2 linked regions of the Schizosaccharomyces pombe genome follow. The protein of the gene in region 2 purifies or fractionates together with the protein of the main gene of each other region. This does not show direct contact. Each region holds a gene or a part of one and is shown on either strand. Other genes may lie near its edges.

Region 1 (7,497 bases), on a different chromosome or scaffold from region 2:
CTTGAAGGAAGGGAACGAGGTCGTCGTTGAAAGGAGGAAGATGAAGATGATGGATATTTTAATTGAGATCCCCTAAAACCTTTTGGTGAACCTCTACCTCTTGACTTGTATATAAGTTCTTCCATTAAGCCAGGAACGTCATGTAAAGAAAATAAAGCAATAGCAGATTCATGAATGTTCTTACCGGTGGCTCGTCTTTGGGACGAACCAGAGAAGACATGAGGTTTAGACCCATACAGAGTTTTCAAAGCATTTGTACGGGAAAATTTCGATGACTTTTCAATATCCGACCTCAAAGTTGAGAGAGCTTGATCTGATAAGGGCTCGATAGTTGCCCGTTTTAAAGGTAAATGTTTGATACTATTTAAAAAAGGTTTCTCTTGTTCCAGAAGAATTAAATATGCCTCTCCTGTTTTACCAGCCCTACCCGTACGTCCAATTCGATGAATGTAATCATCGGTATTGCTAGGACCAGTTATTTGGACAACCTGGGTAATGTTAGGGAAATCCATTCCCCGTGCGACAACATCTGTAGCAAATAAAATACCACTTTGACATTTCCTAAAGCTTTCTGTAATAGATCTACGCTGCGCAGTAGTTAAACCGGAATGTAAAATAAAGCAAGGAATCTTCAAATGATTTTCTAAAACTCCGCCAACAAAGTCAACCATGCTTATGGTGGGAAGAAAAACGATAATACGACTTGAGGGATTTGAAGAAGTGAGTTGTTGTAAAAGTGAGAGAGAAGAAGAGAATACCTTATCGAGCTTGGTTTCTATAACAAATTGGGGCACACGCTCATGCGTAGGAGGCTCGTTTGGATCCAGACAGTTTATGAGCTTAAAATCAGTCCCAAGAATTCCACGAAAAACGTTAGAGACTTTTGGCGGCATTGTTGCACTAAAACACAACTTCCTGGTCTTAGTAGTTGTGACAGCTTCATGAATGTTCAAAATTGACTCAGCAAACCCCATATCCATTAAACGGTCAGCTTCATCCAAAATGAAAGAGTCAGTAGATAAAGATTCAAGAATCCTTGGATTCTGAAGGTGATCTTCCAAACGCCCAGGAGTTGCAATCAGAAGATTGGCATTACCACGACGAATTGCATTTTCCTCTCTCATCTTTGAGTTTCCGCCAATGGCATAAGAAACGCGGATTCCCGTCCCATAAGTCAATTTTCTAGCTTCTTCAAAAATTTGTAAGGCCAATTCTCTTGTCGGGCTAAGGATTACGGAGTGAATTTTGGAGGAATTCAAACGTGGCTTTCCCTTAAGCACATCTTTAAAGGCCACTAACAAGAAAGCCAAAGTCTTTCCTGTACCTGTTTTTGCCTGCACTACAGCATTCTCTTCGTTAGGAAAAACTTCATTCAATACCCGCTGCTGAACTGGAGTCATTTTCTCGAACCCTGCGCGAGACAAACTATTTTTGAAAGTACTAGAAAGAGAAGCAACCTCTGAAAACAGCGTTGGTTGCTGTGATTTCATTGTCGAGTTCCATCTTATAAATCCTTGAACTTTGGGTAAGTTAAATCTCCCAACAGTTGAAAAAATAGCTCCTTTCAGTGAGATATTCATTCTCGACTTTCTGAACTATACTGCTTGTATTACCAATTGACTCAAAATTACGAAGAAATAAATATACTTGTAACTCAATATAGTTCAAAAAAAAGTTCCAAAAATAATGGTTGTGGAAGTAGGGATACATGAGCCAAAGAAAAAAGTTAAGAGGAATTTTACAAAATTTTAATCTTCAGTAAATATGGTATTTCCTCAATATTATGAAAAAAAAGGAATGTTTAAAGCGTCATTTCATGTAGGAAATCCAACTTTCAATTTTTCTTCGATTCAAGATTGACAGCTGTTTTAACACGAACTCTTCAGCTAAAGAGTTGTTATATATAATTCTATGTAAAAAAATATTTTAGGAAAGTAGTTATGTATTGAGTTTAATTGTATCCTTCAATTTATGTCTATAAATCGATTCCTGTAATGTTTTCAAGCTTTAGTTATAGTAGTTCAAAATTTGAAAGAATTGATTGTTTTTTCCAAGTTCCAAATGCATCTTATTTTGTTACAATTCTTATAAAATAACTGGTTCATTTTATTTCAGCCATATTTTAAGTCCAATTTTATTGAAAAAAAAGTGGGAAGATACAACCTGAAAGAAAAGATTATTGAGACAACAAAGTCTATAAAAAAAATAACTGGTTTGCTTGCATAGTTGCCCCATGCAAACAAAATCGTTTTTATGAAACAAAGCGTGAAGACTAAAATTATTAGACACGTTATAATTTAATGATACTTCGTTTTGCTTCTTTAATGGGAGAAATTAGCCTCCAAAAGCAAAATAAGACTTGTCAAAACCAATTGATATTCCAATTGTTGAAAAAAAGTCAAAGGCCCTTCAGTATCCGGAATTATTACGGCTTCATGTATAATATGATTTAATCCATTTCACTCGGAATCGGCTTACCTGCTAACTATTTAATACAGATTTATCGTTTGAGAGACACCTTGAAGCTAGAAAATGTTTTGAGTTTTCTGTAAAAAGTAAGAACACAGCAAAATATGCTTAAATTCAATATTGGATGGCTGCTCTAAATGAAATGTTTTGTACTGATGCTCATAAATTAATTTTCTCATCCACGCAAACCCAAGTCGAATATTTTAGGCACATGTGTTTGTATGAAACAGATGAAAGCATTTTCTATTCAGTTCCATTACCCGGCTTTGCATTCATCACGTTTTTTCTAAAAATTAATCTTTTGTTTACTTTGGTATATAAAGTAATACTAGGTAGTACGTTGTTTTGAAAATCATGGGCTACGTCCCCCTACGATAATTTCTATTAACGAAAATGAAGTTAATACGAAAAAGTATTGTTTGAACAGCGCGTCGCTTCTTACAACTTTGTTTGTTCTAAGCCAAAAGCTCAATTGGTGGGTATTTGGATATAGTGCCATTGTAATGAATCTTTTGGGTTGAGTTTATAAGAATATTGCATGTTACAATACCGATAAAAGTGTGATTGCTCACAAAGTATACAAATAGTAAAAAATGGTGGCTAGCAACAATATGAAAGGGCTTCGAGCGTTTATCTCGGATTTGAGAAGTTTAGAGCATGACGATGAAGAGAAACGTGTAAATGTTGAATTGGCTAAAATTCGTGCAAAGTTTCAAAGTTCTACTTTATCTGCGTATGACCGAAAAAAATATGTCAGCAAGCTTTTATATATATATATGCTGGGTTATCCCATCACTTTTGGCCATATGGAAGCTGCAAAACTCCTTTCAGGGACGAAGTATAGTGAAAAACTCATTGGTTATTTGGCAGTTGCTTTGTTGCTAAACGAGAACCATGAGTTGATGAAGTTGGTTATAAATAGTATTAAAAAAGATCTTTTGAGTCATGACTCTTTACAAAATTCGTTGGCCTTGCATACAATAGCCAACATTGGTGGCCGAGAATTATGTGAAACCGTGTACTACGACATCTATAAACTTCTAATGTCGGCAAGCAACGAAAATATTGTTCGTCAGAAATCTGCCTTAGCTCTCCTACATATTTATCGAAAGTTTCCGGATCTAATCAACCCAGAATGGTTTGAGCCGATAGTTATGATACTAGGTGATGATGACCTTAACGTTTCGTTGGCGGTCTCTAATTTTGTTAATTTAATCGTAATTCGGGAGCCAAAATATCAAAAATTTGCTTATGGAAAAGCGGTTGGTAAACTGAAGAACATAGTTTTTGAACACGGTTATTCAAGTGACTATTTGTATTATTCTGTACCTTGCCCTTGGCTACAGGTTAATCTTTGTCGTATTCTACTTGCTTGCGAAAGGCCTTCGGACAATCCCACAAGGGCAACTCTAATACGTGTACTAGATCGAATCCTTAGTTTGCCAAATGATAACTCAAACGTACAACAAGTAAATGCGGTGAATGCTATCCTTTTCGAAGCCATCAAACTGGCTTTTCTAGTCGACGAATCTCATTCTTTGTACGAAAAATGTATGGACAGACTTGCTGACATGATCGCTGATAAAGAAAGCAATATTCGGTATTTGGCTTTTGAGACGACTGCCTATCTAATTTCATGCGGACATTCTATCACTTCTTTAAAGCATTATAAGGAATTAATATTATCCTCTTTGAGGTACAAGGATGTTTCCCTTAGAAAAAAAAGTTTAGAACTCTTGTATATGATGTGTGACGAGGAAAATGCTAAACTCATCGTTGCCGATTTATTGCAGTATTTACCACATCTTGACTCAGTAACTCAGGAGGATCTTATTTCTAAGGTTGCCATAATTTCAGAGACCTTTGCTACCGACTATGAATGGTATGTCGATGTTACTATACAACTGCTTCGGATAGCTGGAAAATCCGCTGATGATGGCGTCTGGCATCAGCTAGTTCATGTCATTGTGAACAACGAAGAAATCCAGGAATATGCTACCAAACGGCTATTCAGCTTACTACAGTCTGAAACGATTCATGAATGCTTAGTCAAAGCTGGAGGTTATGTTCTTGGTGAATTTGGGCATTTAATTACCGATTACCCGGACAGCCAACCTGTTCATCAGTTTTCTACAATTTATCGTAAGCTGAATGTTTCTTCTCCCAGTACGAGGGTTCTGCTTTTAACCACTTTAATCAAACTGGCAAATTTGCAGCCTGAATTGAACGATAGAATTGCGAAGGTTTTTCAGGAATATTCTACTATTATAAATCCAGAAGTACAACAAAGAGCATGTGAATATCTTCAACTTTTAAAAATGCCAAGGGACTTTCTCCAATTGGTTTGTGATGAAGTTCCCCCATTTTTAGACGGAAATCGAGATGGAGTGCATCCAAAGTCACGTCCTAGCAGCAAGGTAAATTTGGTTGATACCTATCCTCAAACCATTCCCAATGTTTCCAAACCATCCACGCCCATTGATGTTCCAGAATATGACATATCAGCATGTCTTCCTGGGTTTTATCGTTTATGTTGGAAAGATAAGGGAATTTTGTACCAAGATTCTCAAATACAAATTGGTGTTCGTTCAGAATATCACAATTCAGAAGGCGCCATATATTTGTATTATGAAAATCGACAGTCAAATACGTTGAAGTCACTCTCTTCAACGTTAATTAGAACCTTTTCTACCTTCCATTTAGCAACAACTTTTCAAGATACAAATTTGCCATCAGGAGTTCAACTTCAGCAAAAATATGTTATGAGTGGAGTTAATGAGATATTCGAACCTCCGATTATTCATGTGTCTTATGTTACTGGTGTTATACGTTCGATAGACCTCCAATTACCGGTTTTGTTATCAAAATTTATGAAACCGACAATATTTGACAGCTATGATTTCTTTAACCATTGGGGTCAAATGGGAGTGGAAAGGGAAGCACAGTTAACTTTCGGACTCAACAGCAAAGATAGAAAGCTTGACGCAAAACGACTGACAAAAATAGTTAGTGGATTTCACTGGGGAATATGCCAAAATGTTGATTCTATTGCCCTTAATATTGTAGGAGCAGGAATTATTCGATTTGGTACACAGAATGTTGGATGTTTACTTCGTATTGAACCAAATTACGAACAAAATTTGATTCGTCTATCAATTCGTTCTACTAACACTTCAATAGCAAATACGTTGGCAAAAGAAATGCAAGAGATTTTAAGGAATTCGTTTTAATAGTTGTCGCTGCTACTCTCAAAAATTTTTATTGATTGTCATAGCTTTAATGCCTATGCCTCTGTCCACATTTGATGAGTTGAGTATCTCTTAGTGAAGATTTACCTTGAATTTTATTTTATATACTAACTTATACCCCTTTTATTGGAAGTACGAGAGTACAATACAATTTTAATGTATTCGAAGTGCTGTTCAATGATGTTTGTTATTTTATCTTTGTTTCTTTATATCTATTTGCTTTAGTGAACTTCTTCTAAGTGAAAATACTTATACTGTTTTTAATGGATAAAAACTCTTCCTTATTTGGCACACGCTAGGACATTAAACATCTAAATACTCTGTCTCGAAATATGCGCAGTCGATACCAACAAATCTTAATGTCCTTAATAAAAGTAATATAGACCTGAATAATTGAGACACTTTTTTGCTATTTATATCGTATAATTCACTTCTTTTCGTAAAAGCGACGAAGTGTAACCATCAGCATATCTTTGTCAAATATAACCCACTCAGAATCACAAGTTTGGAAGTATAAGCCAACAATTTATTGAATATTAATTTTTGTTTAATAAAAACTACTCACTTTATATTGCAATAGTCTTATTGTTTAAAACTTCAAACTATATGATATTAGCAACATTAGCGAGCACCGTAAATAAAGTCGTGCCAACACATTGACTATTCCAAAACTGTTCAGAGAAGTAAACAAAGAACCAAATAGCAGCTGAAACTTCATTGAAGGGTCACCTAGGACTTTTTGATGATGTCCCAACAGTTAATTGATTTTATTGATTCAAGAACACGGCATCCTTATAAGTCAGATGAAGTAGAGAAATTTCAACAAGAAGTCAATGAGCTTCAGCTTCCGGATCCTAACTCACTTCCTATTTTAAGCGAAGAAGAAAAGAGGCAGGCTCGCGAAGATGCCGCATTTCGAAGGTCTAGTGAAGGGCTTGAAGACGCATGGTTAGATTCAGCAATACCTGCCGACCCGACGCCTATTTTCCGAGACACAGTTGAGTTATTATGCGTATATCAATCCTTTGTCAAAAAATCGGCTTCTCTCGATACTGTTGCAAATTTCTTAGACTTTTCTACCGATTTTTCGACATTGTCAACGAAGAAAGATGAGACAGAAATTGCACCTGATTGTTTACATTACATAGCCGAATTACTTTTTCAGAAAAAGGAAAGAGAAGTGAAAGAAAAATGGAAGAACGAGCTCACCGAAAAACTTAAGACATTATTTAATTGGCCTGCTATTAACCCTAACTTGAAGGAATCATCAAAATTTGAAAGTTTTTTTGGTTTTGTCCGATCCATTCAATCGTTTAAAGATTCTGAAACAGGTCTTCCATTATTTATGCAGGTGTACATTACCCCCTATGTAAACCAGTTTCGTTACCACTTTATGTCTCAGAAGCAAACAAATGTATTGTCAAAACCAGAATGGTTTTTTGAGTTCTTACTAAAAGTTTTTCGCTCTAATCGTAGTTTCTACATGCTTATGCGTGATATAAAATTTTTTCCCGGCGTCCCTCCATTTTTTACATTTATCAATTTGCTAAACAACGTTGCAAAGGAAAAATTAACGCATATAATAAAGTATGATGATTATTTAGTTCATTTAGTTCACGAAACCCTACAATACTCTGTGCGGTTGGAGCAACATTTTCATTATACCCAAGACCCTTTAATTATTTTTCTTTTTGAGCAAAACGGAACTTATGATAAATGGTTGGGTTTAGAGACTCAATTGAGCCTCACAAAGTTGGAAGATATAAAAATTGCATCAGAT
Region 2 (8,219 bases):
ACCACCAAACATTTGAACGATTTCGGGGTTTTCAACACGATATAAAAGCTTGATAGCTCTGCTATAGTTCATAAAACCGCTGATAGTACGATACAACGTTTGACTTCTTAAGGAAGCCCAAATACGGGTACGTAACGTATACTCGGGCATAGCAGATTTGAAACCAATACAGTAAAAAGGAAGATCATCAACTTTACTTTTATATGTACCTTCCTTTTCAGAGACAGAATCATTTTCATATGGAGCATTTTCCTCTACCAGAATCTTAGTATCCTTCACAAAACAGTCCCATTCAACAGGATGAAGCTGTTTCAAATATTCTAAAAGGGTGACACGAGACAACTGGTCCTCTTCTCTAATGATTTCTCGCAATGATAGAAGAATTTTCTCAGCATAATGAGGAATCAATACAGTGAAAGTAGGCATGTTGTCAACAGGTACTGGTTCTGGAATGGGAGTAGCTAAAGATTGTGCAAAGAAAGAAAGACGACGCTCTGCCTCTGAATTTGCAGGGAAGAAAGTAGTGTGAACAATATTATCGTCCTGAGAGACAAAAAACGTAGGGGTTCTAAGAGTCCTACGTCCTTCTTCAGCTGGAACTTGATGATACAGAAGACGTTGTACATGATCAATGGAAAGTAAATGTTCACGATACATAGAAATGACAATCGCATTCCAAATTTGTGAAATTAAAATTTTAGGTTTGTACTTAATTTCCATGTCATTCGTGGCCAAAATTTTACCATAAATTCTTTGGGGCATACGGCTAAAGATATTTCTCCATGGTGTGAGGATCGAAATACCTAAGACGAATGATCTTAAAACAGAGAAGATAGTATTGAAAATAATATACCAAAGGTACGTATCCAAAAAGAAGAGAATCAAGTCAGTAAAATACATGATACCCAAAATGATCCTTGGTTGGACAAAACATAATCTGCTACCCGCCCAATAAATAGAGCAAAGATAAGGTCGCATGGTACTCAAAACAATAATAGGATCTCTGATAGACAAGGTAAGGAAGAAATAAGATTCAGCAAATTTGCATGTGAAAACACAGACCCAAATAATAACAGAGAGTGCTTGGTTATCAAATTTTAATGGTGCAAAATTTGAAGTGAAATACTTGTTTGCCAAGTATTTACGAGAATCTTTCACGGACAATTTTCCAAATGTACTTTGTAGAGGTACAAGAGAAAAGTAGACGTATGTAGCAATAGACATCAAAAATGCAACTACACCAACAGCGATACGTCGACCACTACGCTGTTGATGCTTACTTGAGAAACCGAAGATATAGACGATAGGAATCAAGTTAATGATAGCGATTAAAACAATGATACATAAACGCTTCCAAATGGGTTTTGATCCAGGGAAACGACGGGGGACAAAAAGATATTCACACAAAGAAGCAGCAGCCATGATAATACAAGAAACAACAGAGGTACAAGCAACAGCAGCCCATTGGGAAGCACCTGTTGGCTTGGGACCATCGCGCTGATGGAAAGGTTTTGTGTAAAGAGTAGGAGAGTTGAAAGCAGTAAAATACCAAAACATACCAAAGTGGATGACCCAAATACGATTGAAATTGGTAATAAGATGAAACCAAGAACGGGATTCATAATAAGTTTTATAAAAAGCACGATTCCATTGAACTTCTGGAAGCCTATGAAAACGCTCAGAAGCAGGAATATCAATAAGACGAGTGCCGTCTTCAAAAATAAGACGTGCTATACCCTCAGCATGCCAGAAAAGTTGGTTAATATCATCGTATCCAATTAACTGGTCATGTGGACGTTCCCGACGTACATATTTCCCATTGATAATTTCAAACTGCTGATCGTGCATATATTGGTAGAGTGGGGAAACAATATTATCCAAGTAATATCCTTCAGGAACTGGTTCAGTGACGTTTTGTGCCTCAGGTGAAATAATATAATCGTAAGCACATTTGAAAAGGAAGGCTATTACCTCAGGCATGAAACGAACATTGTTTGCCTCACCCCACAACAAAAGCCACAATGCAATTTGTTGAGCACGCTCGAATTGAGTCATTGAGCGCATGTGAGATCTCCAACGATATTCGGCGGATTCTAAAGAATCATCGGTATTAACATCAATGTATTCGTCTTCCGCCTCCTCGGGTTGCTCCTTTTTCTTCTTGCGCTTGAAGCGAGACTTCCTTGGAGGCTTAACAACTTTAGGGGCTTTTTTGTTTCGAGAAAAGAACTTTCCTTTCTCTTTGATAGAAGTAACTTTACCACCATAAATGCCAACATTAGCAAGACCGACTGCATCTTCCCGATCCATCTGAGAAGCAAAATACCATTTTTTATAGTTAGCAATATCACTACCAATATAATCGGCATGAAGCGTAAGCAGTGCTTGATCTGGAGTCATGCGAGAAGCACGAGAATCTAAAAGACACATAAAAAAATCATACATATTACGCATGGAATCGCGTTGGAAACCCAATTTATTGGTTAGATCAATGAATATGTCTTCAATCTCTTCCTTAGTTAAAGGGAGTTCGTTTTCAGGAGTCCAGGCAGGATAAGGCTCACGATTTGTGAGATTAGCGCTATCGGCATAGAATGAACCACTATCGCCATCCAATGGGGTACCTGAGCCCGAATTACCAACAAAAGAAGAGTTGCTAAAATCATACGGACTGCTACCGTAAGGCACACTGTTGTAGACGTTAGCCAACGAATCGGAACTAGGATCATAAGCGTTGTATCTACCATCGCCTCTCAAATTGTAAAAATTGTTGGCATCTGAGGGCTGAGCATTGTAATCTGAATACTCAGACTCGTATTCATCTGAAGGACGAGTAAATTTTCCTTTTTCAGTGGAATATTGATTGATACCTGAAGAGGCGGTGTCGACAGGAGTGTATTCATCTCCATAACTTTCAGTTACACCAGTAGGGTAATCATACCCATTGTAACCCTCTCCATACATAGAATCGTAGTCAGCCTGATCCAAAAACTCCTCATTGGAATACGCATCAGCAGGCTGGCGTTGGTATGCATTTTGGTCATCATAAACCTCTGAATCGTAAGCGTACTGATCATCCGAGACAGCATCATGACCAGTAATACCTGAAACATTTTCATTATTTCCAGACATTTTCTACTATGCTTAAAACTTGTAAATAGATTGAGGAATGAGGACTAATTAGAAATATGGTGAAAGGAGTTCCCAGTTAAAGAATAACGAACAGAAAAAAGAAAAGAATGAACAATTTCAATAGGAACTGAAAAGAGGGACTGATGACTTAATGCTTATCCGCTCTTGTAAGCCAAAATGAAAAAAGAACCAATTAATGGATGGAATAAAATATCAGAAAAGTAAAGGAAAAGAAATAGAAATACAAACACTAAAAGAGAAAAGCTTCAACAAACAAGATAAGCAAACTCCGTGAATGATCAAAGTGACTTATCTAAAAGAAATTCACTCCGTTAACAGGTTGAAATGACGATAACCGTATGTAAGGGTGGATAAGCGTCAAGTTTATAAATGGCGATATATGGGTAGATATTAACGAAAGAAAATTTCTAAAAAAAGGAAGGAATTCCCTGTAAAAGACTGTAATGAAAAAGAAAGAAAGGAAATAAAGGTAAGCAGATGATTTGCCAAAGCTTTGAAATAAAATTTAAGTAAGACAAAATCTACTCCAATGCGATAAAATATCAAGAAAGTAATGCACTAACAGATGCGTGTAAAACGGAGAATGCCACAAATGATGAACCCAAAATACAAGAGAAAGGAATATACAATAAATTTTGAAACTCGGAAAAAACCGAAGAGCTCTTAATTTTTTTCACGCTAAAATCACTGTATAAAACCCTTTGCAAACAGTACGTCTATTAAGACAAAGTAAAGAAGGCTCAATGGACAAAGCTCCTAAATACCAATGTCTGTCGATTCAACAGATGAAATGAAGAAGCCAGAACTTTAAGAAAAGAACTAGATGCTGTTGATTCTTGGGGATAAGATAACTTTCTCTCAGTCTTTTTCTTTGATTTAGATATAAAAAAACTTCAAGGGCACTCCAAAAAGAAGGGGAGGGGAAAGATTTTTTTTAAAGCGGGAAAGAAGCGAGAAGAAAAAGGCTGGTGGGTATAAACGAGGAGTATCCGCAAATGATCGTTATTATATGAAATTAGCAATAATAATAATAAAAGAGAAAAAAGGAAAACTTTGAATCTCTCAAAAGCAATATGAAACGAATAAAAGACCGTCAAAGTTCTTTTTACCACAAGGTATAAGAATTGAATAACGGGGAGGTAAAAGAAGAAGTAGAGAAAAAAAAACGATGAAGCAAAAACAAGTCGGAAAAAAAAACCGATGCCTGTTTGTTTTCACAATCAAGGAAAAACTTTTGTTGCAGTCCAGAAGGCAAATGGGGTCTTGCTCTTTTTTCAAAGGAAACTTGAAAAAAGCAGGCCTAGTTGCCTCACACGAAGGAGACTTTAATCGGGAGAAAAGAGAATAATTTAAAAATACGGATTGTTAAACAGTTTTCCCGATATGTGAATCCTATAGACGTTTGTTTTCAACCAAACTTCAGGACTACGCAAACACTTTCGAGATGTGTTGTTGGCGGAGGGTAGTGTTTGGTTCAGGAGAGACGGCTGGCGTACGTTGCAGGACCACCATATAAATCTTAACGAAACACAATAAAAATACTTAAATATTATTAAAAAACTAATATTTAAAAGGGTGACTACTAAGCCATAAAAACCCCAATGGAGAGGAGTATCGAAGTAGTAATCAGATGCAATTTTTATCAAGACAAGCCGGTCCTTTTATAAGCAGCGTAGTTGGTCTTGCTAAGTAATTCCTAATGTTGATACCAGCAGCTCGCAAAATATATGTATCAATTAATAGAAGGAGGGATAGTTGAAGGCAAGAAAGAGACTGCAGAAAACATGAGCTATTGAGATGAATAAAAAAAATTATAAAGTTAAAAAACTGAATGGGTGAATTACAAAAAAAAGACAAGAAAGTAAATAATTAAAATTTGTTTGATATAAAAAATGAGTACGATGGAAGTAAAGTTGTCGAATAATCAAAAAGAAAAAATATCTAAGCAAGAGAAAAATATGCAATAGAAAAACAGATCAGATTTTTTTATTTAAATCGATCGTCTTTCATGAAAAACTAGCTAATATTTAAATGTATTTTATTCAAACCCTCTACGCTTTAGCAGCATTAGCGGAACGAATTACGTTTACCAACATTAGGAATGTCTTTTCATTCAATTTGCACACTTATAAATAAACATCCTGCTGCTATTTTCGTACAATCCTACTATGCACATGCTTTCGAGCAAAAAAAAAAAATAAATAAATTAAAATTAATTAAGTTAACCCTACAATAGAAAGTGTAATTTTTCGGTTTTCACTATAGTGAAATTTTTAGTGACGGTTTCTTGCCATATTGCTAGAATCGTATGTAAAATACTGGATATGGTGTGGGATGGAAGAAGCAAGAAGGTGGCAGAAGAGAAAGTAGATAAGAAGAATGGGATAGAATATAATGGAATCAATGTGTCATTGGAAAATTCTTTAATAGTTCTTTTACGCTTTTTTTTTCTAAAAAGCTTCGAGGTGCAACATTTTTCTTTGACTTACTACCTAGAAACCAAAATGTAAACAATCGGTTATGTACAATGTAAACAAAGGGAAATTTGTTGTAACCATTGATCATCCTCTTTGCTACACCACTGATTGGGAAGAGCTGAATCTACAAGTAACGCTGTACCATTATTTCTATGACAACCGGTAACGGGCTCCGATAGGGTAAATAAACAAAGCTCGCTACGAGTAAACAATTGGTTTGTTTGGAATTGGCATATGGGACCGATAATAGCGGCTGGAAAAGGAAACGGTAGAAAACGTGAAAAGTATATGAAAAGAGCAGGCTAGATGAGATAGCAAAAGGAATAATGGGTAAGATAGATGGAAGAATAGAGTTGAGCGGGGAGAAAGATTTGGGTGGTGGGTAAATGAGGAAAGAAAAAGGTCGAATTATTGGAATGCAAAGGCTGATTAAGCGTAAAAGTTTTAAATCCTTTTTCAATGGCGCAAAAACTAGCCTGGTATATACATGGATGCATATTACCAAGATCCTATAAAAGTCCATTTGAAATTTCGCTCTTTTTTGGCTGTCCCTTCTACTAGGGAAGCGGCCAAAATTCCTATGAATAGAATGGGGAAGATGGAAAGGCCTGGTTCCTTGATATAGCGTGGTTTAATAGAATATCCTAGTAGAACATTGGGTATTGCCACAGAACTCGCAATGCAGAGCGGTGGAAAAATAACCGTGTACGGGAATTGAAAAACCATTGATGGAAATGGATGCTACGGGGATTTTGGAATGCAAGCAATTATAGCGAAGAACCGGAATCACATTAAAAAATCTAAAAAATTCATCAATTCTCCTTAATTAGATACTATACATTCAATCTCTCCATGTATTCAAATCTCTTAAATTGAATTCGTCTATTTCGCCAATTGTCAATTACGTTTCCATACCGTACATTTGAAGTAACGTTAAAAATATTTTAAAAAAACAAATTCATTCGGTTGCATGTTCCGATTCTAGTAGAACGATATTATTTGAAAATGGTTTCTTTCTTCTAGTCTACGAATTACCGATTTTTTTTCTCGTCATGAAATCGCCCGCCATCGGGAACTTAACGAATCAATTGTACTATAGCGTCTCGGTTTAAAGACGGAAAGGAAATTTTAGTTGGTTTGCTATCGTAATTCCCTGCCAAAAGCAATGTAAAACGGGAATCCGAGATAACAGCAACCCTGGGAAAATCACTGTTTCCTATACCGGTTTCTACAACATTATTCTATAACATTATCCAGTGAAGTTAAGACTAGCGGTGGTAAGTTAAGTCTCCTCATTGTTTACACATCGCCTTTCGTCCTGAATGCTAGCGAATGTTTTCAAAGAAGTTGATTTATGGAAATCGCTAGACATTCAAACTGCGTAGTATAACAAGCAGCGTCGGTTGGACGATACATTGGCGGAAATTTCAAAATTAAAAGAATTTACTTCTCTTGCTCTACTACATTTCCTTTTTATCGCTTTATTTTTCTAATAAACCTCTATTAATGCTCTTTATGCATACCTTTCTTGTTAATTCTATACTACACTAATCTTATTCTATCCTAATTCTGGTTTCCCGCCAATTTCAATTTAATATGACTTTATGCAAGACAAAAGGCCGAGACTTTATCCATGCAATTGTTTAAAATAGATCAGACATACTTACATATAAACGCTTCCAAAACAAGCTTAGCGAACAATAACTTAGCTTGCACTGGTACATCGGAATATTCACGATTATTACTAAATTGCCACTCATCCCTGATTCCTGTATGTGCTAAAATTTCAAATTACTTTTTATCGCTACATTGTTATGTGCAGCCTCGGATGATACCGACTATAATTTGATACTAACTAGTTTGTAATGATGGCATTCAAAATGTTAGCAATTCATTCACCATACCTGTCTCTACTAGTGTATGTAATTGTGAGTCTAATAAGAAAAATATGAAAACCTTAATGAGCATGACACTTTGTTTTCTGTTCATCACACTCATCAATAATTCAATGGGAAAACGAAATGTGAACGGATTTTAAGTTGCTGGAATGGTAAAATGCGTTCATTCAATAATGTGGAATTAAAAAAAAAAGACAAGAAAATAAAAACTTACAAATTTAAAACATACTTCATAATCCAAACTATTCTATTTTTTTGTGATTTGAAAACGAAATCACAAATTTTCCTTATACGAATTTACAATCCTTGTAGAACACTATGTAAAGTTAACGTAGTTTACAAGAATAGTGTTTTTTTTTGGTAAAAATTATCACTGTTGCGATAAATTAAAAAAACGATGCGCAACATTACTTTAAAAATTTGATGCGATTCATGTAATACACTACACCACAAGTCGATACACTCCTTTCTCCATCTGCCCTTGGGGTTCCCTTAGTGTAGACAGTTGGCACTTCTACTTTGTATAGTATCGCTGGCTTAATTTAGGTATTATAAAAGATAAAACTTGCTTCACTCGTTAATACTAGAAGTTCGGCCTTTATTACCATTTTTTACAGCCCAAAACATTCTTGGTACCTCAGCCTCTGACCGAACGAGAAAGTTGTATTTAAGTTTATTTACCTTTTTCCTC

The links. Proteins that work in one complex are often made in the same cells at the same time.
Region 1: the proteins of bgs4 (region 2) and apl3 purify together in Schizosaccharomyces pombe (co-purification; one study listed by BioGRID). This does not show direct contact.

The regions. Positions count from the first base shown.
Region 1 is NC_003423.3:1,422,872-1,430,368, reverse strand, and holds apl3 (AP-2 adaptor complex subunit Alp3), read left to right. Parts: upstream 1-2,921; 5' UTR 2,922-3,062; coding exon 3,063-5,699; 3' UTR 5,700-6,141; downstream 6,142-7,497. Other genes in the region: ATP-dependent RNA helicase Mss116, read right to left, coding at 1-1,580; drp1 (RINT1 family protein), read left to right, coding at 6,460-7,497. UniProt on the Schizosaccharomyces pombe protein: Adaptins are components of the adaptor complexes which link clathrin to receptors in coated vesicles. Clathrin-associated protein complexes are believed to interact with the cytoplasmic tails of membrane proteins, leading to their selection and concentration.
Region 2 is NC_003421.2:2,252,015-2,260,233, forward strand, and holds the start of bgs4 (cell wall and secondary septum 1,6 branched 1,3-beta-glucan synthase catalytic subunit Bgs4), read right to left. Parts: upstream 4,639-8,219; 5' UTR 3,133-4,638; coding exon 1-3,132. Other genes in the region: SPOM_SPCC1840.13 (uncharacterized protein), read right to left, coding at 5,755-6,153.